Diceros bicornis minor: one gene and its partner. The protein of the gene in region 2 interacts with the protein of the main gene of each other region in a pairwise test. Links are inferred from orthologs where the notes say so. Each region holds a gene or a part of one and is shown on either strand. Other genes may lie near its edges.

Evidence for each region.
Region 1: the proteins of MOB3C (region 2) and ZBTB10 interact in binary tests that used the Homo sapiens proteins (3 or more experiments, as listed by UniProt). The link is inferred for Diceros bicornis minor from reciprocal best matches to the Homo sapiens genes MOB3C and ZBTB10.

Annotation. Positions count from the first base shown.
Region 1 is NC_080772.1:31,173,244-31,189,205, reverse strand, and holds the start of ZBTB10 (zinc finger and BTB domain-containing protein 10), read right to left. Parts: upstream 7,685-15,962; 5' UTR 7,609-7,684; coding exon 6,643-7,608; intron 1-6,642. UniProt on the Homo sapiens protein: May be involved in transcriptional regulation.
Region 2 is NC_080752.1:9,460,241-9,476,121, forward strand, and holds the start of MOB3C (MOB kinase activator 3C), read right to left. Parts: upstream 7,667-15,881; 5' UTR 7,546-7,666; intron 4,187-7,545; 5' UTR 4,133-4,186; coding exon 3,715-4,132; intron 1,445-3,714; coding exon 1,242-1,444; intron 923-1,241; coding exon 893-922; 3' UTR 1-892. UniProt on the Homo sapiens protein: May regulate the activity of kinases.

The DNA of each region.
Region 1 (15,962 bases), on a different chromosome or scaffold from region 2:
CCCGGCTTTTACAAGCAACACCAGCAATTTCTTTTTCACTACTGATTAGAGCACCATGCCATGTTTCTGTAGCATCTATTAAATATACCCTTCACAATGAAAGGTTTACAAGTCAAGAGTATATATACTCTCCAAGGGGAGTATTATTTGAGGATTTGGGTAAAACAGAGCTAAATAAGCACACAGAACTAAACTAAATTGCCAATATTATTTGCTGAACCAAATAAATCAAGAAATTGTTAGTTCTGAAGACAAATCTTAGAGTAGGTCCCAAAAAACTCAAGTCATTTCTGTCTTTTTGGTTCCTTATCTTTCCATGTCCACTCTTAGTATATTGATAATATGAGATTATCACCGATAAGTAAAAATATACTGATGAAAAGGTTTAACTATTTCCAGAACTGGTCCTTTCAGATGTTGGGAAACTTTTTCTATTCTCTTTCCCAAAAAGGAAAACACAACTTAGCCCAGACATTAGTCTAAACTGGCTAACCAGGAGATTTTAAGGAAATGGACATTCAGACTTCTAAAATCAGACAGTTTGTTACACTGGGGATTCTATAAATACAAAAAGTCCTCAATTTTTTTATTTGTGAAGATGCCCATAAGTAAAATTACAATTGGAGATCTAAGAATTAACTCTTCCAAAATTAAAGAGAATATGGAAAGGTGTCTATTTAGTTAAAATCCTCATAACACATTATCTTCAAATTTATTTCCAGAGAGGCTAAAAATAGTAAATATTTTACTCATGAGGAAAAAGGTACTAAAGCTTGAAAAATCCTGAGTTTACTTGTTTATGTAACAAGCATTAAATGAATGCCTACCTTAAACAGGTTCTACACTGGGGACCCAAAATGAGTAAGTATAGTTCCCAACTTGAAGGTACCCTACTGGGCAGGACTCTTAAGGTACTGAAGAGTATACAACTGTGGAACGACAGCAGAGAGCAGGTGTATCTAATCCAGTTTTTTGGAGGTGGGGGAAATGCTTTTTGGAAGAAAGATCTGAACAAAGCCTTAAAGGATGCAAGAGTGGGATGGGAGGATGAGCATTCTAAGCACATAAGACAGCATGAGAAAAAGAGCCAAGATGGTCTACAGCAGCCTCACAATTTCAGATTTATGAAAGAACTTCAAGCTGATCCAAAAAAAGCTCAAGAAATGCAAATATGCACTTATGAATATTTTTGGAGGTAAGTGTCTACAGCTTTCATCAGATAATCAAAAGAGACTGAACTCCCCACAAGTTTAAGAACCACTGTTATAGGTGCCTTACAGAGCTTTAGGAGCACAGTGATCTGACTGGATTAGCAGATATAAAATGACTGTGGCAAAGTGGAGGGTTAATATCAGGGAACTAAGACTAGAGGTACTGTGACATGGGGAAGCTACTGTTAACAGTGTAACATACTTGCCAGAAACAAGGCCCCTAACTAGGGAGGAGGGACAATGTTAATGGGAGGAAGAGGAGGTGAGGCAGACCCTGAAAACATATTTGGAAGGTAAGAATCAGCAGGATCTGAGGGATTAACTAGATGGGGAGGGGGAATCACAGAGTCTTCAGCATTCTAGCTTAGGGAGCTAGCTAACGCCACCAACTCGTAGAGAATCCAAAACCACAACCCAGTCTCCCCACACTTCTGAGGGGAGAATGGGAGAGAGAACTTCAGTTGTAAACAATGAGCTCATCTGTGGTCAATCCATAAATGATAAGAAAATATATTTAACTAAAAATCAACAAGTAATTAGTATTTACTTCCCTACCTAGAATTATAGTTCTCTTTTGATAAAGGGATTAGCAGGAAAAAAGACATTTCCAACACAAATATCAAAGTGTAAACTGAAAGCATTAAAAATATAAAAATCTTTACTACTTTTGTTGCAGCAACCCACTGGAACAGTATATTGAAAGAACAAAACATCAATTTCTACTTCCAAATCCAAATTTTAGAGAAAAATCAAATTCAATTTCTAGAATGAGGACAAACAAGGCCACAGCAAACGTGATGCCCAATAGATGCCTGCTAGTGGTACCAACAAACTCTAACAGCCAGGAGAGAAAGACAGAAGGTCTCCTTCACAATACTCTGATAACCTCTACGATCTCCTAAAGTGATGGCATCTTTTCTTGCAGTTTGAGTACTATCCCCAGAAATTCTAAATCTATAGGTCTCGGGTGGAAATCTTCAGGCGATTATAAAATCCAGCCAACTTTGGATACCGAAGATATGCTTTATTACCAGCTCTCTCCTCAAAACCCACACACACTACACAGGTGCTTCTAAACAGCAACATATACACGTTTCATCATAATTTTCCTTTCTTTAAAACTGCTAAATAGTTTGCCCATTTGTTAACAAAATAAAATACATCCAATTTTAGCGTGACAAGAGATATTCCATAACCTGGAGTCTGTCTAAGAGATATTCCATAACCTGGAGTCTGTCTACCTATTCAAACTTGATTTTTCATCCTGCTCAGCAACCAAATTATCCACTTCTCGGACAAATCAAGACATCAATTTCCATTTTGCTCGTGCTGCTTCCAAATGCAGTGCCTGGAGTGCCCTCCCCTCCTTGTTCAACACCTATTCTCATTTAACACAATTAAGTTCAGGAGCCAATTCTACAAGCTTCTCCTAACCTTCACAAGCAGAACTGATGACTTCTTTCCTTTAGTGTCCTCACTATAACCTGAACACACCTCTAACATGGTATCTATCATTTTATTGTCACATCTGTCTCTCGCCACTAGACTACAAGTTCCTTGAGGGCAGAGAAAATTTCTTACTTATATGTTTATCTCCAGTGCCTTGCATCTGCTAAGTAAGTAAATTAAAAGGGCACAAAGAAGCCAATCTTAGATACACTATAAGGTATAGTCCAAGACACACTACTAAAAAGTTGAAAAACACAAGGGAATGAACCCGTTCTTACTGAATCGAACACAATCAATGTTAGAACCTATACAGTTAGACAAAATGGTTTTTAATGGGCCATAGGCTCATCTTTAATATCTATTTCTCCTTCTTAGTGGAAGGTTTTTCAGACTTTCTTCCTCAATTGTTAAAAACAAACCTTTGAGCCTTATTTTTGCCAAATGCAAAGAGGGCTGGTACATCTGTCCCACCTTTGCTTTAGCCACTGACCTCAACATACTACAATTTGTAATTTCAATCAGATCACTGATCTGAATTCAGCTGTCTACTTTCTGGGAAGTAGATAACTAAATCTATAACAATAACACATTTAAGTGCTTGTTTTAGGTTTAGTAAACTGCAAAGAGTTGACAGAATGTGTAATTTAGGCTACAAAAATTTCACAATTGGGTAGAAAGTGATCTAAACCAAGATACACTGGTAATCACTATTATTAAAGCAATTTTAAAGTCCTTTGAGCCAAACGGTCAAATCCTGTATGAGCTAATCACTGAACTTGACTCTATGAAGATACAGTCAGTTGTCACTCAAAATAAAAACTATTTGTTGTCCTGCACATCCTTATACTCACATCCTTATAAAGAATACAGGGATTTCTCCGAAATAGAAGGCTCAGAACAGATTCCGAAAGCATATTTAGACTCTCCCATGAGCACTCCTTAACAACCAACATCCGATTAACAGAAAAATATCAAACTTTTTAAGTATCCGCTACAATTTTTTGGTTACCTCCATGGAATTAATGAAAAAGGACTTTTCTTACAGAAAGTCCAAGAAAGAAAGGTAACTCTTAGTGACATACTAAGATCTGGCCCAACTCCTCTCAAACAAGCCTCCTTGAAATTTAAAAAAAAAAAAAGGGTATGTGAGGCAAATAGAATGAACTGCCCCCGGCCTCAAACTGAATTCTTGCCTGCAGAACTTCAGGACTCTCATTTCAATACTTTTAAGGCAGGAGAAAACTAATGCAAGATATTCTTCATGAAGCTGAGAAAAATTGCATGCATGATGAGAAAGTCTCAGGATGTTCAAAGAACTGGATGGCTAAAGCCTCTGAAGGTACGAAAAAGGAGAACTGGATTGCTCTCTAGAATCAAGAGTGATTCCATGAGGTAAAGTGGCTCCCAAACTGACAGAACTGGTAACACTGAGACATGAAGTACCAGGCCACACACACACAATCTTCTTATAGGACAGTTATCTGCGATGAAAATGGGTAACGATCACAATAATGATTATCGTTTACTAAGTGATTAGGTGCTGGCATATATACTTTGCATACATGAGGAAGCTAGACGTTAACTCATTTATTTGCCTGCCAAGAAAGTAGAGGATTAGGACTCAGGTCCTCCTAACCTTAAGCCCAAGAAGGCTCTTACAGACTGTGTTATACTGCCTCCTACAGGTATCAAAGGCTACAGGGCAGTGGAAAAAAAAAATTGAACCCTGCCCAAAGGAAGAAATAAGTCAGTTGAAACTGTCACTCATACTAACAAGACAAAGAGATTATGTAGGTGGTACCAGGGGTCAACAGCAAAGTAACACCCCAAACTAAGGTTAGTTAGAATGAAAATAGAGAAATGATTAGGATCAGTTCAGAGTGGAAACATCCAAAATCCAATCAAGGGAACCAATACATAGCCTTAGACAAACATGCCTTACTAAAGTATACTGTCTTCAGTCTAATGAAGGAATGTCCTAAGAGAAAGATGGTCTGCAGATTGTATCTATAAAAAGGGAGTTTCAAAGAGACAAAGGGGAAGGGAGGGATAATTCAGAGATCAAGTTGAGAAAAGGTTTTACCTAGGAATGAATTTCCTGATCCAGATATATGCCTAGGGGAGAAGGATGCTAAGTCTATTATAAGGTTATCCAACTAATTCCCCTTCCTCTGATTTCAGGTTCACTAAGCAGCTAATTATAATTTGCATTCCCATTCAGATTTGCCTACAGGGAGAGAAGATGCTGATATGAGGAGTAAACTGGTCCACCGTACAACAAGAAAATTCATTCTGTGTTTCTAAAATTTTCTAAATAACCAACCTACCATTATTTAGAAAAGTACACTTTCATTTTCACAAGTCCCCCACCTCCATCATCTTACTAAATAACTTCAAGAATACATTACTTAACCCTTTAGAGCCTCAGACTCCTCTTCCGTAAAATGGGAACTTACTTTGGAGAGTAAGGTAAAGGTGTGTTTGGCATATGGAAGACAAGGAAATGTTAGTTCTATTTCTGTTAGTTCTATTTCACTCCACTGCCCAAACTCACAAAGCTAGTAATTGCAGAAAGCTGAGATCTGAACCCAGATTTACTCCAAAACCCGTTCTTTTTCCATTACAACATTCCTCATAGGCTCTAGTCTCAGTTGTCACTAAGGACTCTAAGACTTAGGACAATTTACTTAAGCTTTCTAGGCCTTATATTTTTAAGTGACCTTCCTTCTAGGGCTTAGGCAACTAAAATTTGTGCAAAACCTATTGCCACTGTCCACTGGGAAAAATAACCCTATGCTTTAAAGCCTTAACTTCTGAGAAACATCTGTGCTACGGACTTACTGGATAGTGCCTAATTAACTCCAGTATAAGAGTTCCGAACAGCAAGATCACTCCAATAAAAATACAGAGGGACTAATATCTGAAAGTTGCCTCTCTAAAACCAATGACCGGCTACCAATACAAAAGAATGAATTCCATCCACCACCACAGATTGTCTACAAGTCTTAAAAGGAGGAGTGATCAACATCTGTTTGGCTTGAAAAGGGATTATTGAAATGCTAAGACTACTATCTTTAGACTGGAAATATTAAAGCAAGTACTAAGAATTAAAATATGGCTTACTTGTTTTGTAACTTACAATTTCAAGGAGTTTGGTAAATATATTCCCTACCAGTCTAAATCAACTACTTGATACAAACAACCTCGTATTAAACATTTCTAATATGCTAAATTTAATGTAAACTGCATTTATAAGAAACTTTTTGAAAAGAGGGATTATAGAAAATCTCAGCACAGAAATCTGGGTAGAAGGAAACAAGTAAAAACTACAATAATTTACCAAAGGCACACCTTTGGTAAGAAAGTTCAACAAGAAGTTCAACGGAGATGAATTTAGTAAAATTATTCACAAGAAAAAGGAGTGTTATCCAAATAGCTTCCTCTATATTTACATACTACTCCCATATTTCACATTATCCTGACCTGATGATAGAATTTTCTCGGTTGGATGTTTTCCTGAAAAGGGTAGCGTCAAACCTTAAGGAAACTGTTTAATTCATTCTTCAAAGATGTGCCAGATTTTACTTCCACCAGCACGCTAAAAGACTACGAACATAAGGCAGCTTTTCTAAAATCACAGCAAATAAAATTCTCGACCGCAAAATCAACCTTTTAGGGTTAAAACCTTCAACCTCGCTTTATTAAACTTTCCTTTTGATTTAATCTGATGGGCCAAGAAATCTGAGTCATAAAAAAATAAGCCAAATTCAGCGCTGCGATTAGAAAATTGCCATTCCACCCCCCTCCCCGCCCCCAACGCTGATAACTTTCGAAAACTTGTTCCCAGCCTCTCCAAACCCCCACGCGGAAGATCCCTGCACCTCTCTCCCAACGGGAACGATGCCTTCACCCAGGAAAGTGGTTTTAAGGGGACAAATCTTGCCCTAAAAGGTCTGAAAAGTGGGAGCAGGAGCTACCGTACCTGGGCGTTGGCTTCGTGCAGTTTGTGCTCGGTGGAGACGTGGTGCCTCAGCAGAAGGGTTTTCTTGTAGTTGCGGGTGCCTCGCGAAAGCTCGTCGTGCCCCACCTGGGGAGGGTCCCCGCTGGCCCCGTCCTCGGGGGGCTTCTGGCACCAGCCACACGACATAAGGCCAGTCTCCTTGGAATACCGCAGCCAGGGAAAATCTTTGAGCCAGGAGATCTGGAAGGAGCACTGGAGCTTCTGCATCAGGGACTTGGGGCGCGCGAGCGGGAAGTGCTGGACAGTCTCGCCCTCGCCCGCGCCCGCGGCGCTGCCCTCCGCGTCGTCCCCGCCATCGCCGCCCGACCGCCTGCTGCTGCTGCAGCTGCCGCCTTCCGCCCCGCTGCCGTCGCCCAGGCTCGCCCCCTCCTCCTCGTCCTCGCTGCTGTCGCTCAGGGACGCGCCGTCCGGCACCGGCTCCTTCCCCTCCAGCGCGTCCAGCTCCAGCTCCACGGCCGCCGGCCCGCGCCCATTGAAATGCCTCAGGGGCCACGCCGAGGGCTCGGGGCGCCCGCGGCTGCTGCCATTGTTGCCGAGCCCCCCGCCGCCGCGGAAGGCCAGAGTCCGACGGTTCCTCTCGGCGAGCAGGGGGCCCCCCGCGCCGCCGCCGCCGCCCAGCGAGCTGGGGGCCCCCGCGTCGGCGGGCAGCAGCAGCTCCTTGGCGTCGTCGGCGGCCGGCGCGGCGGCGGCGGCCTCCAGGTCCCGCGGCTCCAGGCCCTCCAATTCCGCTTCCTCGTCGGCCCCCCGCGCACTGGGCTGCGGAGGCGCGGGCGGCGGGGGCTGTCTCGGCTGCGGCTGCGGAGGCCAAGCCGAGGCCTCCCCGCCGGCGTTATTGTTCGCGGAGCCGCCGCCGCCGCCGCCGCCGCCGGTGACCAACCCGCCTCCTCGGAACGCCAGCGTCCTGCGGTTCATCTCACTGAACGACATGGCGCGCGCCGCCGCCGCCGCCCGGCGCCCCGCTCGCGCCCGGCCCCGGGCCGCGTCCCGCGCGCTCCCCGCCGCGGCGCCCCCGCCCCCGCGCCGGCGCTCCGCTCTCGCGGGGCCCGGCCTCGCCCTCCCGCCCGGCCGCCCGGCCCGCGCTCGCCCCCGGGGCCGCCTCACGCGTCCGCCGCCGCCCGCCGGGCCGCCGCCTCCGGGCGCCTCCGCGTCCTCCGCCCCCGCCCCGCGGCGCTCCGGGCAGCGTCCCGCGCGGAGAGGGGGGCGGGCGGCGGGGAGGCGAGCGGCGAGCCGGGCCGCGCGGGGCCTCCGAAGTTGAGCGGCGGAGTGCGGGGCCCCGGGCTGCCCCGCTGGAACGCCGCGCGCGCACACCGACCCTCCGACAGATATCCCTCCTCCGGCGCGCCGGCGAGTCCCGACGCCGCCGCCGGCTCCCGAGGCGCCGCGGCCGAGAGGCACGTTACACGGCCGCGCTCCGCCACATAACGAGCCGACAATAAAGCCGGCGGAGCGTTTCCGTCCGACCAGGCCCTGGCGGAGGTCGAATGGCAAATGAACAACGGACCGTGCGCCCACAATGCACCGGGGTAGCAGTAACCGCTGGAGGGGGAAAGGGTGGGGGCCGGGCGGGGGGAGGGGGGCTGGGCCTGGGCTGGGCCGGGGTGGGGTGGGGGCGCCAGGGGACCGGGAAAGGGGCCGGGCCGCGCCGCCGGCCCGGGGGCGGGGGTGCGGCCGCGGGGAAGGAAGTGGGCCGCGGGGCGGGGGACAAAGGCCGGGCAGGCCGGGGGTCCCGGGGAGGGGCGGGCGTGCGCGGCGCGGCCGGGCTCGCGGAGGACGAGCAGCTGGCGAGTGTCAGGGCCGGCCGCCTCCCCGCCGCCCGCGCGCACCTCCCCGCGCCCGGGGCGCACATCGCCCTGCCCGCGCCACGAGTTCACCTGGGGCTCGGGGGTGACCGTGCCGCCGGCGCGCGCGCTCCGGCCGCGTCTGGTGCTGGGCGTGGGTGGCGGTGCCCGGGGCAGGGAACTTAGGGCGTCCCCTCACAAAGACGGGGCCAGGCGGTGCCTGGGGCGCGAGGAGCTGGCGGCCACGGACACCTCCTCGGCCGGGGCATTGTGTGCGCCGGGCCGCACCTCGGGCCCCGGGCGGTAATCGTTTGGCAGAGAACGCACCGCCCCGAGTGTCTTATTGCTGTGATGAAATGGAAATTTAAATAAAAGGTCGAACACGTGCGTTCACTGGGAAGTATTGACATGGGTGTTACATCACCAGCAGCCAATCAGATAAGCGCAGTCGTGTTTATACTTCTACAACCACCTTGTGAGTATTACAGTATGTCATAACGTTATAAATATTAGGGTTTTCCCCAGGAGCGGGGCGGAGTCTGCTGATACGGACGTGGTGTGCGACTCCGAAGACGGTGTGTTCAGAGGCAAGAATCAATTTTTAGGATTTGTTTTTTGTTAACCGTGTACGTTGCAGATGGAATTTAGAATGATGAGAAGAACAAATTAAGATGGAAATGAAACTCCTACCATCATCATCTTGGTCGAGTTTTTCAGAAAAAGGTGTTGCAACTTAGAGCCCTTATGCTCCTTATTTTTAACATTTCAAGACGCTAATGCAGAAATAGAAGTATAATGATGTACACCTGAAATTGATACAATGTTAATAAACCAATGTTACTGCAATAAACAAAAAATTAAAAAATAAATCAATAAAATTTCAAGACGCTAAATTTAGCAAATTCTAAAGTGTTCAGACTCATTTTACTGTTTTAAAATATGGAATCTTAAATTATTTAAACCTAGTTCAGGTAAGAAAGATGTTCTCAAACTATGAAGGGTCTTGTTACTCTTAAGAAATATGTTGAACATCTCATCACAAGCTAATATAAAATATGTTCAAGATAATTATTGAGTGGAAAAAAAGGATATTTATATGGCAGGATACATTTTTTCATGAATACAAGGATATGCATAGAAAAATGAGAAATACACATGAACTCTTTACAGTTAGAGATTATCTAGTGTTAGAGGCTTTAACCTATGTTATGGAAAGTTATATATTATGTTTTGTAAAAAGGATGTATTACAATTTTTAGGCCCTCTAGTTTTATGATTCTGTTCTCTTCAGGAATTTCTATTTTTAAAATAACAATATTTAAAGCTTTGAATATATAATATTGAATATGGTAGGTTTTTCAAGATTAACTTTAAAAAACAGATTTCCCCAGACATATTATAAAATACCATTTGTCTTAATTATTTTTAAATGGACTAAATACATACATGCACATCCAGACTCGCATATACTATTGATTGTATAGATTCATTCAAAGCAACTTTCACTTAATTAACTGTAATTTTGATATCTGTGTAAATAAGCAGTGTTGTATATCAAACAAGAAACATTAGTTCTACCTTATAGATGAAATGTAATTTTAATGTAAAAAATGATGCTACTAACCTGCCACAAAAAGATTTTGGCTGTGAGTTATTTTTCCAGTAATAATCATATTTTCACCTGGCCACCAGTGAGCAACAGCTTGAAATTCGGATATAGGTCCTCAGATTGGTACAGTTGGTGGGTTTTTTAAAAATTTTGTCCTGCTTTGTTTTAGTTGTTGGCAAGTTTAGGACTGCAGAATCTCTGACATTGTCCTAGTTTTTACCTTGGAGAAGTGAGAGGATTCTGCCTGCTTGGCTGTATATAATATGTGCTTCTATGTGATATATGGAAGAATGTTATAATAATACTGTGCTTTATCCTTAATGCATTTTTAAAATTCCAGGCACTTTGCAAATAAATACATTATTTATTATATTTTAACCACCACTGCTTCCCCCGTAAAAGAAGGTAAGAGTTAACTGAAGTTAATTGCTTATCTAGGCTTAAAGTGATGGGAAGTGAAAATGGACTTAAGAATTTTTATTTCAACTTTAAATGCTGTTTTCATTCCAAAACTGTTAAATTCATATCTTTGCTTCTTTTTGTCTCATATGCCTAGTAAGTACATAATAGGCACTGTATAAGTTTATGCCAGTATTATTATTTTTGCTTTCTGGGAACGTCAGAATCACCAAAACTGTTTGAATCCATAATGGTGTTAATTGTGTCAGGAGTGTATTTTTCTCAGACATCTATCTTAATATAAGTACAATATATACAAAATATAAGTACAATAAATACAAAATATAAGTATTTTGTTAGATGCACATTGTCTTCTCTCTGGAATTATGTTTAAACGTGGACTAATTAGGAATGAGTGACAGAGTCAAGTGGTACAAATGAATGACGTAGACTCTAGGACCACTGAACTCCTAACAGCCAAACAGTGTGAGTGTGGGGTATACGTATGTGTGTGTGTATGTATTTATATTTTTATCATTTTATGTGTATAAAGGTATATTCAGTTGTCTTCCTCTAGACCCTGAAGGGAGATTGAATCAGAAACAAAGTTCAAGAGGATAGTATTCACAAATGTCTCAGAATACCCTGTACAAGGGAACTTTGAGTAACAGAAGGGGATCTCCTATTCTGTAAATGGAGTTTTTAAGAATTCCCCCACCCCTTCCAGTCTCCTACCAGCAAGCATGGATCTGTTCTCCTCTCTAGCCCCTATATTTACTGTTGGGGTTCTACCATATTTAAGGGGATTCCCCTTTATACTTACCAGGGGAACCCCTCAAGAATGGGGCATCCCCAACCAGTCTGTCCCCTAATTTCACTTTAGGCTATGTAAAACCATTGCAGGTTACCTTGATCATCTCCCGCTATGACTTGGTGATGAGGCTGAGCTCCTATACCTGGTTCAGCTGATTTTCAATGGTTGAACCTAAGTGTCCTTTACTGCCTTGAGAGGCCCTTTGCCTCTGTGAGAGCTTTGCCTCTTTAGGTTCTGGGGACAGTGGCCTGTGATTCTGTCTGTAGAACTGACGTGTCATCCACCAGAATGAAGTACCTGAGAATAGAGACTCTGTATTATTCACTCTTATACTCTCCTACCCCAACCCCACCCTGGCACATAGTAGGCAATTAGTAAATTATTCAAATTGTTGAATAATTTAACTTCCCTTGCCGTCTCTTTTGGTAGGCAACATTTTCTTCTGTTCTTGTTTTTTTCTGTAGCTAAGTAAAAAAATATTCTTTTTAAAGATATTGAGCTAATATTTCCATTGCATTTATATTAAAAGCAACAATAATCATATATACATACCATGGAATGTTATTCAGCCCTAAAAAAGAAGGAAATCCTGCCATTTGCAACACCATGGATGAACGTAGAAGACGTTATGAGAAGTAACATAAGCCAGACACAAAAGGGAAAATACTCTATGGTACCCCTTATATGAGGAATCTAGTCAAATTCGTAGAAGCAGAAAGTAGAATCGTGGTTGCCAGGGGTTGGGGGGAGAGGGAAAGGAGAAGTAATAGTCAAGGGTACGAAGTTTCAGTTAGACAAGATGAATAGTCTTAGAGATCTACTGTACAGTGTGGTGCCTATAGTTAACAATACTGTATTGTATACTTAAAATTTTGCTAAGAGGGTAGATCTTAAGTGTCCTTATAAAAAAATAATAAAGTGGGCAGTAGGAAGCTTTTGAAGGTGATGAATATGTTTATGGCACAGATTGTGGTGATGGTTTCACGGGTTTATACTTATTTCCAAAGTCATCAAGTTATATACATTAAATATATACAGCTTTTTGTGTCAATCATACCTCAATAAAAGAGTTTAAGCAAAAAAAAAGCCATGATAATCATATAGTTATAAAATTATATTATTAGCGCCATTTTCTTTGTAGCTTACAGTGAATTACAGACAGTTTACACAGCCTCCTTGTGAGTTAAATCAGGGTAAGGAGTATTATCCTCATTTAACAAATGGAAAGCCAAGTACAGAAAGGTTAACCAATTTGTTCAAAGTTTATAAGGTTGCAGACAACAGTAATACCCTCCAGCCTAAGGCACCCTTAGCTACTAAAACACACATGAGACACTTAACAATGTTATATCTGCATAATTATAGGCTACACTAAATTTTAAACTTTTTTTTTATTGTTCAAATGTGCTCTTGGAGAAAAAAAAAAGAAAAAAGATCACCCATTATTTTCAATACCCAGAACTAATCACCATGGTGTAAATACAGTTGTCTTTTTCTGTGCCTAGCTAAAATTGTTTTTTAGTGTTTATGAATTAGATCTTAGCATATTTGTACTTTTAGTATTAGTATGTTTTAATATGATTAAATGTTTTTAAGTACCATTTTAATGGCTATGGATATCCGATAGTTGATTTAACCAGTCTTCCATTGTTGAACTTTTCATTGTTTATAGTGGTTTTTTTTGCCGTTATAAACAATTGTTTAGTGAATATCCCTGAAACTAAACTAAACTAAACTTATTTCTTTAAGATAAATTCTAAAAGGGGAATTTCTGGCAAAGGGAATGGACATTTTAATAAAGTCTTATTAGTATCACATGACTACCCTTCAGAAACACTCTCAAAAGTGTAAAAAGTGCCAAAAGAAAGTACTATTAGGGAGGTATTTTTATAATATTGGGGAGTGAAAGACCTAGTTTTAAGCAGAACACAAAAGCCAGAAACCTTAAAGGAGAAGATTAACAGAATTGACTATATAAATTATAAAACCTTTGTTTTTCAAAAACATAATAAACAAGGGTTTTTAAAAGTAAACTAAGAAAAAGAAATCTGGAATATATATGACAGACAAAAGCTTAATATCATTGATCATTAATATCATTAATAATTTCATCACAGAAGACTCAATCTATAAGACAAACACATATCTAGTAGAAGAAGAAAATATGCAAAGTACATGTATCAGAAAATCACATAAGAAATAACAGTAAACATATGAAAAGAAGTGCAGACTTGGCCAATAATCAGAGAAGTATGCATAAAAACACCAGTGGGTAAGTAATTTTTTAACCCATCAGAGGTATAGGAAAATGAATATAGTTGGGAATGTAGATAGGAATAACTTTTCTGGTAGGCTGTTTGGCTATGTGTATCGAAATATAAAATGTGTATATATCTTTTTACCCAGCAATTTCAGTTCTAGGAATTTCTCCTTGACAGTTGTTAAGATGTCTGTGCAGGGGTGTTTATTGTAGCACTTTAAAAGCCTAAAAAACTTGGGCTTCCATCAGTGTGGGGTTATTTACATACGTTATGGCACATGTCTGTAATGAATTATTGATAGCTATTAAAAAGGTTGATGTGGTATTATGTAAGTCCAAGGCCACTGGGCATAATTATGTTGCTGAACAAAACAGCCATAGTCCTTAGACCCATACGTAAGTTCGTATGTAAATATAAGCGTGGAAAGTAGTTTAAAAGGATGTTCACCAGAATGGGGACAATAATTATCTCAGTAGTAGAATTTCAGTTTCTAGAAAACTTTCTTAATACACCTTCTGTACTGTCTTATATTGAGAATACAATTTATATTGAGTATATAATCCAAAAAAACAATAAAGCTATTTTTATTTTGGGGGGAGAAAGTTTATTTTGATAATCAATGACATGTTTTCCCCCAGGACTTCTGGGAAGGAGTACTATTCATTCTTCCTTTTCTCCACTTATTGTGAACCACTCTTGCCCTGCCCCCCAAAAATAAACAAAAGATTTAAAAGATAAAAACCAGTGTTTCTTTTCTCAGAAAATTCCAATCCCTTTAAAACATTATGTATTTTTCAAAAGCTTAGGTTGATATGCATATGTCCAGGGAGGCATCTACAGGTATCTCAATAAAGCATACATTCTGGCCCTCCATTCCATTCCATTCCTACTGTGAAGCCAGTAATCTTTTCAAAATGCAAATCTGATCCAATCACCCCACCCACACTTAAAACCCTACAAAGCTTTCAGTTATTTTCTGTTGGTCTACATCTCAAAACACTTTTTAAATGCCTGCAGAGCCCAGCAAGGTCTGGCTGCCTTCCACCGCTCCAGCCTCGTCTCATGCCCGGCTCCCCACTTCCTGCAACACTCTCCTCCAGAAGCTAGCTTCCTCCTGTCCTTCATGTTTGCTTTGATCCCTGTCTGGCCTTTGCACAAGCTGTTCCCTGTCTGTAACTCTCTTCCGTCTCTTCTCCTAATTAACCCACATTCTTCCTTAGATCACTTCCTCAAGGCAGCTTTCTCTGACCACCCACACCCCCAAGATTCAAATATCCTGTTGCAGACTCTCCTAGCATTTTTTAACTCTCCGTCACAGCATTTGTCACAAATGCAGTTTTTAAACGTGTAATTATTTGGTTATTGCATACTCCCCCAATAAACTGATAGCTCCATAAGGGCAGGGACCATTTCTGGTTTTGCTCAATATTGTATTTCCAGCATTTAGACAATCAGTAAGGATTTGTTGAATGAATCAATATCAATGAATGTGCAAGTTTGCAAGCACTAGGTGCACACAACCTTGAACTTTCAACAAAAGACTAAAACATAGATCAAAGTTTTACTGCATTCTGTTTACTAGTAGAACAGAGATGTTATGGTGGGTTTTAAGTGGTGATGATATTTGCATGTTATACAACGTAAGGCATACCATAACGTATATGGTTGTAGGAAGATTGTTTTGAAATTCTTTTAAATTAAGGCTAGTGAATAAAAATAATTCCAGTTAAAACTATTAGGTCATTAAAAATACACAGAAATACAAAAACATTGCTTTATCTGTGAAGTTATGCTTCTAATTAAAAATTTTAAAAAATTCCAGATTTAATGATAACTAACCATTTTGTGATTGCAGTTTCTCTGTCGTCTAATAAATCACAAATAGGAGTTAGCTCACTGTATTCTCAGAGAGATGAAGTAAAAAGTAAAATGCCTCCTTTGTTTATATGAGTTGTACAAAAATAGATTCTTTTTACAATATGAATTTTTATATAGGCTGCGAGGAATGAGAACAATGGAGTAGAGGTAGGGGTTTAAATATTTATTTTTATTGAAGACTGAATTATTAAAACCACATATACATTACTGATTTTTGTAGGAGATCCATCCCAAATATTTAGTTACAGATACTGTTTGGTTCACAGATTTGTATCCCTGATAGCTCGATTAGCTAGGCTCTGTTCAGGCATGACAGATTTCACACTAATCCACCTCTTTCATAAATTTACCAGTGCAAACCAGTTAGCTTCAGAAGGATCAGGTGAGAAAGTATGGAAGGGAGAAAGATGCCAAGGCCTTACATGTACAGTGCTATGAAGAAATACCCTAAAACAAGGCTTTCTACACAACCTGATGCAGTAACTTCATAGGGGGCTTAAATGCCAAATAAGGTAACTCCTTCCCCCCAGGGTTTGTAGGTA
Region 2 (15,881 bases):
GACAGATCACTCCCAATCCCCAGGAGGCTGTCTATAATCAAGCCTTCCTACAGGCAGAGGGATGAGTGAAAGGATAGCTGATGAGCATTTCCGGCTGAGCAAATCAGAACCTGTGACTGTGGTGGGCCAGGGGTTTAGGTACCCAGGGCAAGGCTCCCCTTCCTACCTCCCTGCAGCTCCCCAGAACTCATGCTTACGGAAGACAGCAGCCTGGAAGGTTCAAACATAGAGCTACATCTACAGCCACATTTTGTGTACTTACACACATGGTCAGACACACTGAGTGGGGACACTGACCTGTCATCACTCCTACAGTGGTCACGGTCTGATGGTCCCAATCCCTGCTCACTTTCTTCTTTCCTTCCTTCCTTCCATGTACCTAATATTTATGGAGGGCCTACTGTGTGCCAGGGAGGGTCAAGGGAGCTAGCTGTCACAGACATACCCCACAGTCAAAATCATGCACACACATACACACACACACACACACAGTTATCTGTGCTTACTCACACACAGGCTGCTTTCTTGTATCTTTCTTGCCATCACCTCAGCCACATCCACATTTTCCAAATACACTTGGGAACCACCATGGAAGGGTCAAGTATCAGAGCAGAAACTCTCTAGCCTACCCCGCCCCTAGACTTCATGCCAGAGGGTTAGCTGTTCCTTCCCTTCTCCTTGCCCACCTCTAAGCTCTCCCCTTCCCCATTCATAAGCAGTCGGGGAGACATGTGGGCAGACTTTTGAGAACCAGAAGTCCAGGGGCTTTGGGTGTGTGGACGGGTCCCAGGGCCTGCAGGTTCCTCTGCCACCAGACTCCCGAGGGTCCTCTCCCCTAGCCACTCTGTACAGAGATAATCCATCTGACGGGCAACAACGTCCAGGCCTGGGCTCAGTGACAGATCCGCTCTGTCATCTCCCTCTGCAGAGACACAAGGTGAGAAGTGGTCAGTCAGAGCTCACCCTACCAGACAGCCCCTTCCCAAACCATAGGGCCTGCTTGCTCTCCTGCTTCAGCCTGGCGCCTCCCTGCCCCGCTCCCAACTCCAGGCTGCAGATCTGGGTTTGTAAGCTGACACTTGAATGAATTCTCTATTAAAGTGCAGAATCCATGGTTAAAAGAGTTGCCTTCCCCTAATTTATCCACCTGGGTACTGGATTTTCTTAAAGCAGGTAGCCTTTGGATCTGAAGACACAAAGGCTAGCCCTGCTTGGGGAAGGCAGTGGGGGCCTGGCCTCACCAGTGGCTCCAGCTCCCGCTGGTCCACCAGGCTGAACTCGCGGATGAAGTAGTAGAAGTGCTTGTAGCAGGTGTTGACATGCGCCTCAGCCCCCATGCTGAGGATGCTGTCGAAGTGGTGGATGTAGACGTGGACAAAGACACGGAAGAGGCGGGTCAGGATCTTGGTGCAGACCTGCTGGAAGTTCTTGGGGAAGGGAACTCCTAGGAGCGGGGATGGAGAGAAGTGGGGGGATCAGCACCCTGATGATGAAACTCTGCCCAGCCCTGCCCTCCCCGACACAGGCAGCCTTGGCCCAGGATGCCCTCCTCCCTAGCACACTTCCCTGTGAGAGACAGAGAGAGATCATGACCACTTTCTCCCATCCTTCCCTTTTCAATGAAGCACAAATTTGACTGTGCCTCTCCCCTGCTGAAATACAAATCTTCTTCCACATTTTCCCCTCACCCCGAGCAGGACTCTGCAACCTTGTTGGGGTCACTGACTGACCAACCCTTCTTAGACTATGATGAAAGTTATGTCCAAATTCTCCCCAGAAACATGTGCATCTGCAGATGTTCTCAAATGATGCCCTTGGATACAATTCCAAGGGGAGTTCATCAACATCTGGGGTCCACTTTTAAGACCACGAGCCTCAGGATTAAGTCCTGACTTCCCAGCGTGGCGCCTGCACAAGGCCTTTCATGATCTGATCCCGACCTCCCTCGCCAACCCCACCTGGCTCCTTCCTCTTCACAACATTCACACAGCAGGCCTCAGATCCCAATCCTGAGAATTACTGAATCTGCAAGAACTAGTTCAGACATCTCTCATTCATTCATCTATCCAATCACACTTAGAAAGAACCTTCCATCTACGAGCCAGTCCCTCTGCTGGGCCCTCTGTACCTTTTGCCTGGTATGGTAGCCATTCTACATATGATAAGATGGAGGTACACAAAGGTGGAGCCACTTGCCCAAGGCCTCATAAGTATTCATCAGTATGGACTGGAGGCAGGATTCAAACCCTCCTTGCACTGCACTGCAGCACCCCTCAGAGATAAATGCCACACACCTTGCCTGAGAGAAGCTCCAGGACCTGTGAAAAAGGCACAATTTCTACACAGCCCCCGACACTCAAGGTGGAGATCTTGGTGGCTATGCCCTCTTCTCTGCTGTGGCAGAGCCATCCCAAGGTTAAGGCACAGGCAGCTGGGGTCTCACCAGCCCGGGGGGTCAAGGCTAGAAGGGAATAAGAGCCCAGACACAGCCCCACACTGGCCCACCCCACTCCATGGTGCTCTTCTCCTTAGGTGGGGTTGGGTGGAGTTGAGCCCTGCCTCCCTGTGAGCCCTTCCAGGCCCAGCCCAGGTCCCTCAGACTTGTCCTGCCCTAGACTTGGGCCTGGACCCTAAGAGACCTGAGCTGCAGTTCTGAATCCCTCCTGATTCAGTGTGCTGTCCCTCTCTTGGCCTCGGTTTCCTCCCATGTGAAATGAAGATTCCCATTGTTGGGCATGATAGTGCAGGAAATGGCAGGACCCCAGCTGGGGAGGGGCCGTGGGCACTGAATTGTGACTCAGTGCCCAGCTTCCCTCTACATTCAGACTTCTGCCCTCTGGGCTTGACCACCCTGCCCCACCCATCTCTGATTCCCATAGCCTTCACAAGGATGAACATGAGGCCAGGTGGGGGTGGGGCTGCTGTGATGAACACAGTGTCATGCCTGCTCAGCTCCTGGGCCAACACCCCCTCTTGTTGCCCTTGGGTGGTGAAGCCTGGCCAGGGTGACATCACTCATTTCTCCTTCCCACCCGCACCTGCCCAGGCTGCCCAGCTGAGATAAGAGAAGGCCCCATGGCTTGGGCCTAACAAGGGAAAATTCTGCCCTCAGAGCCCTCTGAGGAGATACCACCTGGCCCACCCAGTCCCCAGCCCCTTCCCTTTCCTGGGGCCAGGAGTCAGAGGGAACTTCCAGGAGGCTGCAAGTCAGATCAGCCCAAGCTTGGCAACCTGCTAGGAGCACTCTGAGCCACCTGTTTTGGAAGGTTCTGAGAATCACAGTGGCCCTGCCAGGTGGTCCCTAGAGGGACATTCAAGTTTCAGACAAGAAGAGCCCCAAACTGGGAGTCAGTCAGTCCCAGCTCAAGATGCCTGACCTTGAGCAGACACTTAACCTCTTTGAGCCTCAGTTTTCTCCTCTATAAAATAGGGATGAGGGGCCAACCCGGGGTTCGCAGGTTTGGATTCCCGGCACCAACCTACACACCACTCATTTAAGCCATGCTGTGGCGGCATCCCACATACAAAACAGAGGAAGACTGGCACAGATGTTAGCTCAGGGACAATCTTCCTCACCAAAGAAAAAGATAGGGATGAAAATCACCCCCCCACCCCGAATTGCTGTATCAAACTCCATGCCTCATCTGTGAAATGGGTTCCAGTGGCTCTGTCCCTCCCTGGCCAGGCCTGACCTGCCCATCAGGTGGCACTCACCAATGCGTGTGGGAAAGACATCCTCGTCATTGATGAGGCCCTCGATCCAGTCCATGAGCAAGGCCATATAGCGTGGCGCCGAGAGCTTGGCAGGCCGCCGGTACTGGCGCTCGTCCTGCCAGCGGTACTCGTAGCGGGGCCCTCCGGCCATGACCGGGCAGCTGGTCTCGCTGCAGCGCTCCGCCATGGTGCCGTAGATGAGGTTGATGCGGTTGAAGAAGTCCACCACGTGCACGGCAATCCAGTCATCGATGTTCTCGCCAGGGGGCAGCCTCACCACGCTGCGCAGGTCCAGGCCTGACTTAAGTGATGCCTGTGCCTTCTTATACAGCTCAAAGCGCTGTGTGCCAGGCTCGAAGCGCTTCCGCGGCCGGAATGTCTTGTCTTTGGCGAACACCTGCTTCAGGCACAGCGCCATGGCCAGGCTGGGTCGGGGGCCAGGGGTCCAGGGGCAGGACCTGTGGATGCCCCGCTGAGGCCAAGGGCACAGGGGAGCATGGTGGTCAGATCCTTACCAAAAGGGCTTTGACTTCCCAACACATCATTTCCCTCTCACTTCTGAGCTTTTGGCCAACCTCTGCAGCCTCTGTCTGCAATCTAAATCTTCCTCATCCCCTTGGTCCAGCACCCCTGCCCTATTTCCAGGCTACCCTAGCCCCTGCTGCCAAGCGCCCACAGCCCTCCCATCTTGTTTTGTTTCCTCTCCACTTTCATTGCATCTTACAGAGGGCTGGGCCTGGGCTCTAAACAGGTGCTCCTCAGACTTGCGGTTGACCATTAGAGAGGTGGCAGAGGCTTCCTGCAGGCCCCTCAGGAGGCAGGGGCCTGGACGTGACAACCTCTGGGGGCCTCACAGGCCAGCTGGTGCAGCGTGGGAGAGCTTGGCCACATTGTGCTAGGGGGAGGGGATGGGGGAGGGCCCCGCCTTTGGCTTCCTCTGGGATATCCCGTAGTCCATCCGGCCACCGGGGATTCCCAGGGAGCAGGAGAGACTTTTCTACCAAAAATGTCCTTTCCTTTCATTACCCTGAAAGAGGAAAGAGCTCTCATATGGCCAGCTGTGTGGCCTCTGAGTGTGGCCACAGGCACTGGAGGAGAGGGGAAGGGTGGCAGGTCTAGAAGGGAGCCACTTCCTCCAACAGTGGCTGGAGATCCTGCCCCCAAAGCTAGCCTCCTCCAGCCTGAAACCCAAACCCAAACCCAAACAAGCCACTGGCCCCTGCCACAGCCCCTGCCATTCAGGAGACGTTCTAGAGCACCTACTATGTGCCTAGCACCGGGAGGTAGGAAAATGCAGTCAGATCCACCCAGCTGGGCCCATCTAGAATTCAGACAAATTTGCTTTGCCTTTTAGAATTGAAGGATCTCAGACTCAGAACAGACTTTGGGGACAACAATGAGAGCCCGAGGCTTGGAGGCAGGAGTCCTGGGTTCTAGTCCCAGCTCTACCATGGCTGGGTGACCTCTGTAGCAGGCATGGAATTGGCTCATGCAACTTCCTGGGTCACTCTGATACTTCCTGGGTCACTCTGGTACAGGCGAGGTTTCTGGGACTCCTGGGGCAGTCATCTCACATCTCATCTCCCCTGTGAGCGTGTGAGCTCTTGGGAAATGCAGACCTAGGTACCTGCTGAGACTGGAACTTAGGCACAAACTGAGCACTGGCCCTAACCCCAGACTGAGAACCGAGCTCTGGCTCCAGGCTGAACTCTGACCTTGCCCTGACCCTGGTCAATGTGAGTCCTGGACTCTAGCCCTGGACTGAGGCTTGAATACAGCCAAAAGCCTGGCCTTGGCCTCAGAGCTGACACTGGAGCCTTTTCCCTTCTCATATCTCTAGTAATGCTGCGACAGGACTGGGGAAGGAATGATGGGAACAGGGTGACGACTGTGTATAGCCAAAGTCACAGCACATATGGGTGGGGGGGAGGTGTCACAGCAGGTAACAAGTCAAGGTAGTAGAGGAGAAGTTTGGAATGAAGGTTCTTCCTTGTACCCACATCAGGCAGGCCAGGAGGGGAGAGTTAAGTAAAATGAGAGGAGTTTGGAGAGTAGGGGCAGGTCTCCCAGCAGAATCTTGTCTTTTTGAAAAAAACCTCAAAGATGTGGCAGGTCATCTTATCCATCCTCTGCCCCTTGACTTCTCACCCAAAGAAGTCCCCAGAGTGGGACCTGAGCTTCCTGACCCAAGAGGAGATTTCCACGCTTTACTTGCCGCCTGTGTTCTAAATTCTGCTTGGGCAGGTGCTTCCAAAATCGCTCACACTAAATTCAGGTGAGGTTCCTGGCTCTCCACATTCACACAGCCCCCTTGACTGAAAGTTACTAATAGACTCTCACCCTGGCATTCAATACCGCACCCTACCTTTCCTGCCCCACTTCCCTACACCCACCACCCTGGGCTTCCTCCCGATCCCTGAACATGCCCCCCACCCTCCTGCCTCTGTGTGTTTTCTTACATTGGTCCCTTTGTCTGACTACACATGGTCAGGTGGAAGGCTACCTCCTCCCACAGGCCCCTCTTCTGAACCCAGAGCTCCTTCTCCTTGGGTGGACGCTGCTCCTTGGCCATTGCTGTCCCCCAGCCTAGGTCAGAGCCTGCGACACAGTTGATGCTCAGGCTTCAAGGAAAGCTTAGAATAAAGAATCTCGGGGTTGAAATAGGCCTGAGAGATAACTGGTCCAACCCACTTCTTGTACAGATAGGGAAACTGAGGCCCAGAAAGGGGACTTGAGGAGACTGTGTTCACATAGCAAGTTACAGGCAGGGGATCTTCAACGGCAGAAGAGGGAACTGGGAAAAGGTAGGGCTCAGCCCATGACAATGAGCAAAGGGCCATTTTCCTGCACTGACTTGTCGCTGGTCTGGTGGAGATAAGGGAAAAGGATGGGAGTGCAGGAAGAGGGGACACATCTTCCCACCGACTAGACCAACCTAATTCCTGCTGCTCCAACACACTAAGCACCCCTCCTCTTCCCCCACAAGCAGCTTGGGTGTCCTGACCAGTGAGCCAGAGTCCCACCTTCCTGCTGCAGAATTTCAAGGTCTGGGCCCTTCTCCAGGAAAATGTAAGCTTGGGTGTGGGGGGATTGATAGGTGCCCTTCCATCCACGCCACTTGTTTCTTCACTTCCCACTCCCATGCCCTTACTGAGTTTCTATCCCTCACAGAGCCTCTGTCCCCTCCCTGAACCCTGGCAATTCCCCCTCCTAGCCAGTTTCCTAACTCTGGGTGTCCTTTTACTCCTAAAGTGGCCAGTGATGGCTCACACCCTGAGGGGGGATCTGGGCTTCCCAAATGAAGACCACAAAGTGGCCCTGACTGTTTCTAACAGTTAGCCCCCTGCCAGGGCCACACCTGCACTCCCCAGGCCTGGCCCAGGATCTTGGCCAGGGGATGGCCCCAGTTTGAACCCAGAATCCAGCCTAGGGCAGTGCCATGTGGCGGGCGCCCTGCAGGGCAGAGATCCAAGAGAAAAGTAGAGGCAGAGACTCCATGCTCTTCCCTGGCGCTCGGCCTCCCCCGGGACCCCCTGACCCCCACCCCTCTCCCTCGCCCAGCTGCCAGGACAGACCGGTCGTAGGACCCATAGGAGCAGGCCTGACATTTCCGCTCCGAAAGACACGCCCCTTTCAAACACCGCCACCCCCTCAACCCCGACTTTCGTAGCTTTGAGCCTCGGACCCCGGACCGAGGACTGCGGCCAGCCTGCCTTCGGGCGGAGGTCGCCTCCGGACAGTGCCACGCCGGGGGCAGTCGAAGAAATGAAAGGGGAAGTAAGGCTGGGCCGCGTGCGCGGCGGGGGCGCTGGGGCGCGGGCGCTCACTCACGGGGTCCTCGTCTGGCCGCGGGGTCACATCCCCAGCGCCGTGGGTCGCCTTCTTCTGCCAGTCCTCCCGCCCTGCCGGTTCTCTCGCCTGTCCGCCGGCCTGCCCTGCCGGGTCGCTCTCGCCCTCCCGCCCCCGAGGCGACGCCGGCTCCGCCCCGGTCCTCCCCGGCCCCGCCACGCCGCGGTCCAGGGGCGGGGAAGGGGCGGGGAAAGGCCCCCCCCACCCCCAATGCACAGACACACTCTCTGTCGCTTTTCCGTAAAGTCCATATCGCACTCCCAGCTTCCCCAGGTGGCACTCTCAGTGTCTCAGACTTTTACCAAGGAGGCAGCCTCAGCTTTCTCGACTGTAAAATGGGGACAAGCTCAGCTTCTGTCTGGAGCAGAAACAAAAGATTTGCTAGATAATGGTGGTTTCCTTTCCCTCCTAGAATCAAGTGTGTCTCACTTGTCCCTGAGTTCAATAAGAGATCAGGTCTGCCCTATACACTTCCATGCCTTCAGCTCCTGGCAGAGTGCCTGGCACATAGCAGGCACTTAGTACCCATTTACTGAATGAATGAATGCCTTGGGAATCATGAGTGAGTCCCTCACCCCAGCACTTGGCAGTGAAGAGTGCTCAAATCACAGACTTTCACCTCCCCCACCAGGGCTGGCGTCACTGCTCAGACTGGGCTGATTCTCCTCACTCCTCACCCAGAATCACCCCATTTCCCACCACCAGACCTTCAGTTCCTGCTGTTCTCACTTTGGAATATCTTCTTTTTCTCCTTCCTTCCAACCAAATCCAAACCCTTCAAGACCTGATCCCCTCTCCTTACTTGTCTACCTAGGTTCCTCCCCTGAGGGCAGACAGATATCCTACACCAGCTCAATGCACACTGTGGGCCCCAGGCCCAGGGACCAGTTGGCTGGTTCTGTCCTGGGATGGGAGGGAAGGTTGGAGATTTTCTAGGGTAGAAGGGCCAAGACAGACAGATGGGCTGCTGAAGTCACCCTGGAGGGGTGTGGGAGGTGAGCAGGGGGAGGTAGGGGAGAGCTGGAGGCTGGAGGTGGGCATTTATTGTGGTGCAGATGCCTCACTGGGCTCCCCTTGTGTCTGGATCTTCTGCTTGCTAGATGGCATGAGAATACGCTGGATCCTTAAGAATCCCAGCTCACAGAACCGAGGATTTATTCTTTTGTTGAGCATCTACTTTTGTCCCCGTATAAAGTTTTCTTTTTTTTGCTGTCTGAGTCTTAACTCTGCCCCAAATCCCCTATAAACAAACATTTGCGTGCTCTAGTGTATGCAGAAGGAATTCAAACTTAGTCTTTCATTTGTTTGATATCCTAATCAACACCCGTTACTGAGCATGACTCTGCACTGAGAGCAGGGGATCAGGTGATGAAGCTGCCTCAGCCCCTGACCTCAGCTGACCACAGGTCCTCAATGGGGGACGACACACAGAGATAACACAAAGTCAGAGCTCAGTCTTCTAGAAGTGAGAACACTGATGGTGAGCACTTTCTAAGAGTGAGGTTATCTACAGGAAACATGTGGAACACCCAAATTGGGCACTTTGAGGAGAGTTTCAAGAAGGCATCATTTAGAGGTGTAGTCAGGGTATATGTAGACCACACAAAGGGCTAGCAAGAGCAGCCCTTTGCTGTCTACCCTAGCCTGAAGGGGTGCTGGGAGGGAGTGGTAAAAGTGGGAGCTATGAGGAGGGGGCTACTGATGGGAGCTGTGGCCTAAGCTCGAGGGGCATACCCAGCCCACAGCAATCATACTGTGAAGGACTGGGGGAAAAAGGGGCCTCACTTCTCTCCCTTGCTCTGATCTCTGGCCTGGTTTCCCCACTGGCCAGATCCTACCCTTGTAGCCAAAGTCAAGGGAACCTGTTGATGCAGCGCATAGAGGTCGGCCTCCTGGGGCCTAGAGCTGGGAGGAGGAGGGTGAAGGGTGCATCTGGGGACAATGGAAGGCACGTAGCACATGGGCTCAGGGACTTGACTTCACAAAGGAAATAGAAACTGCTTGTGCTTTCCTTATCATTCAGTTCTAAATATTTCATAATTTTATTGTCATTTCCTCTTTAACCCATGGATGATTTAGAAGTGTGTTTTTTAGTTTCTCAGCCTATGGGAGGTTTATGTTTTTCTTGTTGACTTCTAATTATGTTGCATTGTGGTTGGAGATCATGGTCTGTAAGATTCTTTGGAATGTGATGTGACTCCCTCTGTGGCCTTGTCTGTGGTCATTTGCTGTAGCTCCGAGCTGGGTTTTATAGGATGGGCAGGAGTTTGCCTGGTGAAGAGTGAAAAGCACAGAATCTTACATTGTGGGAAATATAGATGATCCATTTTGAAGGAACTTCAGAAGTTCCCAGCTCATCCACAGAGCCCCTGGGTGTCAGTAAAAGTGGACAGACAGGTGGAAAGGAAGCCAGGTGGAAGGCTGGGAGAAGCCAAAGATAGTCCAGATCTCTCAAGCACCTGTACCCCTTCCTGCAGCTCTCAGTCTGGGCTCGAGAGACCGTGTTCTTTCAGGAGGCTCTGCTGGGGCTGAGAAGACCCAGACCATGGAGAACAAGGTTCTGGCTTTATCATGTATTAGCCGTGTCATCTTGGTTACTCCTGCCCTCTCTGATGGCATGCTGTTCCCTGCCACTGTGTCCTGAGTATAAGTGGCTCAAATAAGGCCCTGTCTCTGAAGGTTGGTAGGAGCCAGCGAGAAGCTAGTTGAGGACATACCCTCTCCCACTGCACAGCCCAGGCTCCTCGATGGGAGCTCTAAGTGGCACCAGAGTGGTCTCCAGACCCGTGCTCCTGCCCTGCTGTGTGTCTCTGGGAAAGCCTCTGCCCCCCTCTGGGCCTCAACTGGCCCATCTGCATCACAAAAGCATCTTCTAGCCATACCATTCCAAGTGCCTTATTGGGACCAGCTTCCTGCTCCTGCCCCTGTGGGCCTGTACAGTGACTCCACTGATACAGGGTGGCCTCTCCCTGGGGGCTCCCCAGCCCTTCCTTTGCCAGGAAAAGTCCTCCAGCCCCACTCCTCTCAGAATGAGCTACAATATCCCCAGCTCACTCCACCAGGCACTGGCAGGTCCTGTAGCCTGATGGGGCCTGCCTCTCTTCACTCTCTCTCCCAAGAAAAAGTTTCTATTCAGCTTCTGCCCCGCCCTGCCCAGAAGACAGGATCTCCCATCCTGGGTCTTCCATGCTGGCACATGGAGGAAGAAGCGAAGGACACCCTTATGGCAGTAAGAGGAATTGAGGTTCGACTTCCTTTACCTTGAAGAAGACAATGTTCAAGGGAATGTGACGGGGAAGACAAGGTTGAAAAGGATATACATTAAATTTCTGTGTGACCTTGGGCAAGGCCTTTATTCTCTCTGAGCCTATTTCCCCTTCTGTAAAACAGAAACAATAACAACAACAATAATATGTGCCCCACGGAAGAGCTGTGAGGATCGAATGTGAGAGCCCTTGTAAGCAGCAGAAGGCTGTGGCCAATCTTTTGGGGGTGCTGCCTTCAAGCACCCAGAGGCTTTTGCGTAAAAGAGGGATTGCACTGTTCCTGTGGTCCTGGAGGACAGGGGCAGAGACCTAGGACAACACAGGAGGAGACAATCAGCACACCAGAGCTGTCTAACCACGCAGCCTGGATGGCTGTACTCATTTCTCGGGAGGGAAGTGTGCACACTCAAGTGGCACAGCCCCCTGTGACACGGGCTTCAGAGGGTTTCAGTCTCTTTGAAGAGCAGGAGGACCCTCCTGACCCTGAGAACCTCAGACTCCAGTCTCTGTGCTCCAAGGTCCTCCTCCCCCCCAGCTCCCCATCCACCCCTTGATTTGGAGGCTTTGCCCTCACCTATCCAGGTCTCAGGTCTTCCATCCTGGGAACGAGACCTCAAGAGACTGCGGTGGAAGCCTGGTGTGCATAAGGGCCTTAGGATAATTTCACAGTCTCCGCATGACCTGACCTCCAACATGTCCTGGTAGGCCATGCCCCCTCCTCCAGGTACATACTCTCCAACCACTTAGGTTAGTTCCCAGGTCAGGGGTGTCCCAGGAGTGGAGGGGATAGTTGGGGAGTGTGGTTCACCAGTGTCTCAGGCTCAGTCTTCCATGGAACCCACCACAAAGCCTGCACAGAAGTTCTGTCCAACTCTACCCCTTCTTCTGCCACGTTCACCTCCGGGGCTGCCTGCCTGGAGCACCACCCAAGTTCAAAGCCCTTCTGCTACAGGAAGCCTCCTCAGACTGCCCCAGTTCCCATGGCGCTTTCTTCCTTCTTCCACAGCATCCTTTCTCCAAGTGTCTTCAGTAACACCTGCCTCAGAGTCACCAGTGGACTATCTAATTCTGACCAAGCCTGGCAATCTAACTCTCAGTTATAGGAAGGACTGGAAATAGAGGAACAAGTGAAATGACATTGTCGGGGGGGATGAAATCAGCAAAATCCGGAATGAGGAAAATGCTATAGGGCAGATTCTCAACAAATAAACGGCAAGAAAACAAAAGAGATGAGGGGACATCAGTAAGTTAAAAGTGACTTAATATGGAATACTGCTCAGCAATAAACAAAGCAACTATTGATACTTGTAACAACTTGGATGGACTTCAAGGGCATTATGCTGAGTGAAAAAATTCAATCTTAAAAGGTTATATACTATATGATTTCATTTATGTAAGTTCTCAAAATGACAATATTATAGTGAAGAACAAATCAGCAGTTGCCAGGAGTTAGAGTTGGGGAGGACAGTGACTATAAAGACAGAGAACAAGGGACTTTCTTTGGGTGACAATTTTGTATCCTGATTGTGGTTCCACAAACCTACACATGTGATAAAATTTCATAGAACTATATACAAAAGGAAAAAATTTAAAAATGAGTACATAAAAAAACTAGTGAAATCCAAATAAAGTCTGTAGTTTTAATAGTATTGTACTAATGTCAATTTCCTGGTTTCAATAATTATACTATGATTATGTAAGATATCATTGGGGGAAGCTGAGGGAAGGGTACACAGAAACTGTATTATTTTTGCAACTTCTATGTGAGTCTAAAATTATTAAAAAATAGAAGTTTTTTTAAAAAACATTTAAAAGACATATCCAGTTGCAAGGTGTGGATCTTGTTTAGATCCTGATTTGAATAAATCAACTGTTAAAAAAAGTTATGAGATAACTGGGGAAATTTGAATATGACTGTACATTTGATAATATTAAGGAATTGTTATTTATTTTAGGAATTTTTTTTTTAAAGTACTTGTCGTTTAGAAATATAAACAGAAGTATGTGTGGATGAAACAATATGATGTCCAGGATTTGGAGGGAAAGTGGGTTGGGGTATAAATGAAACCAGATTGTCATATGTCGAAAATTTTTTATGTTCAGTGATAAGGACTTGGGGTTCGTTATACTATTGGCTCTACTTTTGCATATGTTTGAAAATGTCAACAAAAAGTTTAAAAAAGAAAACACACAAGTGGATTTCTGGGCCTCTCTCACAGAGATTTTGTTTCAGTGTCTCTAGGGTGGGCTCAGGAATCTATTTAGCAAGCTCCCCAGGTGATGTTTATATAGAAGACTAAGGTTGGAGAACTTTTGCTATAGACTAAATGTGTTCCCCCCAAATCACATGTTGAAACCTAATCCCTAGTGTGATGGTATTTGGGGGTGGGGCCTTTGGGAGGTGATGATGTCATGAGGGTGGAGCCCTCAGGAATGGGGTTAATGCCCTCATAAAAGAGACCAGAGAGCTCCCTTCCCTTTCTAACATGTGAGGACATAGTGAAGAGATGGCCCTCTATGAACCAGGAAGCAGGTCCTCATCAGATACCAAATCTGTGGGTGTCTTGGTCTTGGACTTCTCAGCCTCCAGAACTGTGAGAAATAAATTTCTGTTGTTTATAAGCCACCCAGTCTATGGTATTCTGTTATAGCAGCCTGAACCGACTAAGACAACCTCTTTCTGTTCCACATATGACTTGTGGGGTGGGATAAAAATGGGGGATCTCCCAGAGGGGTGGGATGATGTCTTCTAGTAATAACAGTAGTAAATTAGTATAGTTTTAACATCTTAGAGAGACAGCATGGTGGGGTGGAAACAGCACCTCTGTTTCATTCATTTGTTCATTCATTCCTTCATTCTGTCAGTATTTACTGAGGGCTCACTAGATGTCAGGCACTGTTTCCGGGCCAGGTGCTGACCTTGCTCTTGCTTTGTGGGTGATGACAAAGGCCTCAGTCTTCTGAGGAACTTCCACCAGGCCCAGGTGTGGCACTTCATAGCTCACAAGACTGAGGCTGCAGAAGATCATTAGCAAACAACAGGTCAAGGAGGGGGTAGCTCCAAAGGGGAAGGGTCCTTGGCTATCAGTCTAATCTCAGAGTACGTGGGAAAACTAAGGCACAGGGAGCAAAAGGGATCAGTAATGATAATAAAACCATTCCATGAACCTTCTATATACCTGTGCTTGAGACGCCTTGTCTCATTTCTTCCTCTCATCAACCCTGGGAGGGAGGGAGGTTTGTCTTTCTATAGCTAAGTTGTCCTTCCCTCCAGAGGGAAGGATGGAGGGGCGGGAAAGAAAAAGACAGTTCCACTAAGGGAGAAGCAGGGATTGGACATGTTAGGATGACACTGCAAACTCTGCCCTGCAGTTCTCCCAGGAGGACCCTTAGGCCCCATCTTGGCTTCATTTCCTGGAAGTGGGAAAACTGTGTCCCCTATAGCCAGGAAGCAGCAATTCAGGCAGTGGGCAGGCTCGCTTTTTGGTGGAGCCTCACATTGTACCCTGTGGATCTGGATTCCACAGCAAGTACAGCCTGTGACTTCCCGCCTGTCATGGGGCCGCATTTGGGGCTTTTTCAAGAAGTGGTTACAGGAGCGCAGCTTTGCCCAAGGCTAAGGGAACTAAGGGTGTGCTCTTCTTTTCCAGGAAGTCTTCCTAAAATATACCAGCTGCCTGGAACCAACCCTCCTCAGGGGGGAGCCCTTGGCATAGAAAGTTCTTAGTGCTTGCAGATATGCTCCTTTGGTTAAGCACATGAAATTCCGTCTTCTCTTTTGGACTGCAAACCCTGAAAAGTGGGCTCTTATTTATTTTACCTCCTCCCACGGAAACTTGTAGCAACAACTGACAGTTGTAAGGAACTTTCTGGTTTACAAAGGGCTTTCACCACTCTGGTCACTTCTGAGTCATGCAACAACCCTCAGAGACAAGCATATGCTCCAAAAGGTGAAATGACTTGGCCAAGAGGCACAGCCTGAAAATAGCAGAGTTGGAACTCAAACCCTCCTAACTCCAATCACAGGCCCCCCGCACCCACCCCACACTGCCTGAGCACTTAGCAGATGTTCTGTTTAGGAGCTATCTCATATGACCCACCCAGTAAGTTAGGGAAAGGAGAACAAATCAGTTTGAAAAGCTGATCTCATCCCAGAAATCTTCCCTAGAAGTAAACAATAATCAAATCCTTGTTTTTCAGATATTTTCCAGTTGGGTTGCCTGGGACCAAAGTGCAGAGAAAATTTGCAACAAAGAGATAGAAGAATGTTGCCACCAACACTAGACACTTTTCTAAAAATGTTCTCCTGGGAAAAAAATAGATGATAACACAGACACTTGTGCCTGATCCATATTAAAGCAATTAGCATTAAGTTCATTGACCATCCTCAGTAACCTTGACACCACCTTAGATTTCTCACTCACTCTTTCAATACCCTTGCAAAATCTGCTGAGGTAGGTCATATTCCACACAGATAGAGAATATTCTACATAGAGAGAAAGTCATTTAATGTGAGCTAAGGGTAGGAAAGGAGAAAGAAACAGGAAAGAGACTAAGTACAGTGAAGAGAAGGGGTTCAGGAAACAGAAGGCTATCTGAGGGTCACTTGGTTTTTAATGTAGAGGGTCGCCTGCCTCTGGGAAGAAGGCACATGGTAGACCACCACTGAGATACCAGAGCTTCCCTGAGACCTTGACAGCATTTCCCTCTCCACAGGGGCGTCCAGCGGACACAGTGCAGGCTGCTGGCTCTGAGAAAAACTGAGAAGGGCAAGAAAGTTCCAGCTAATCAATCCCAGCTCCAATGGGGTGTGAGTCTCCCAGCCAAGCTCTGTAGTGAGTTCCCATCCATCTCCCATCATCATGCCCTGCCCAGCTCTCTATACATCATCCCCCTCTGCTCCCTCACCACAGGCAAGAAAGAATGCACACAGGATAGATGGAGAACTTCAGTCTACACAGGCAACACACAATTCTCCAAGTAGCCGATGGGCCAGGCACAAATAATCCAGTGCAACAGATAATCCAGCATTTGGCTTCAGGAGTCACGAGC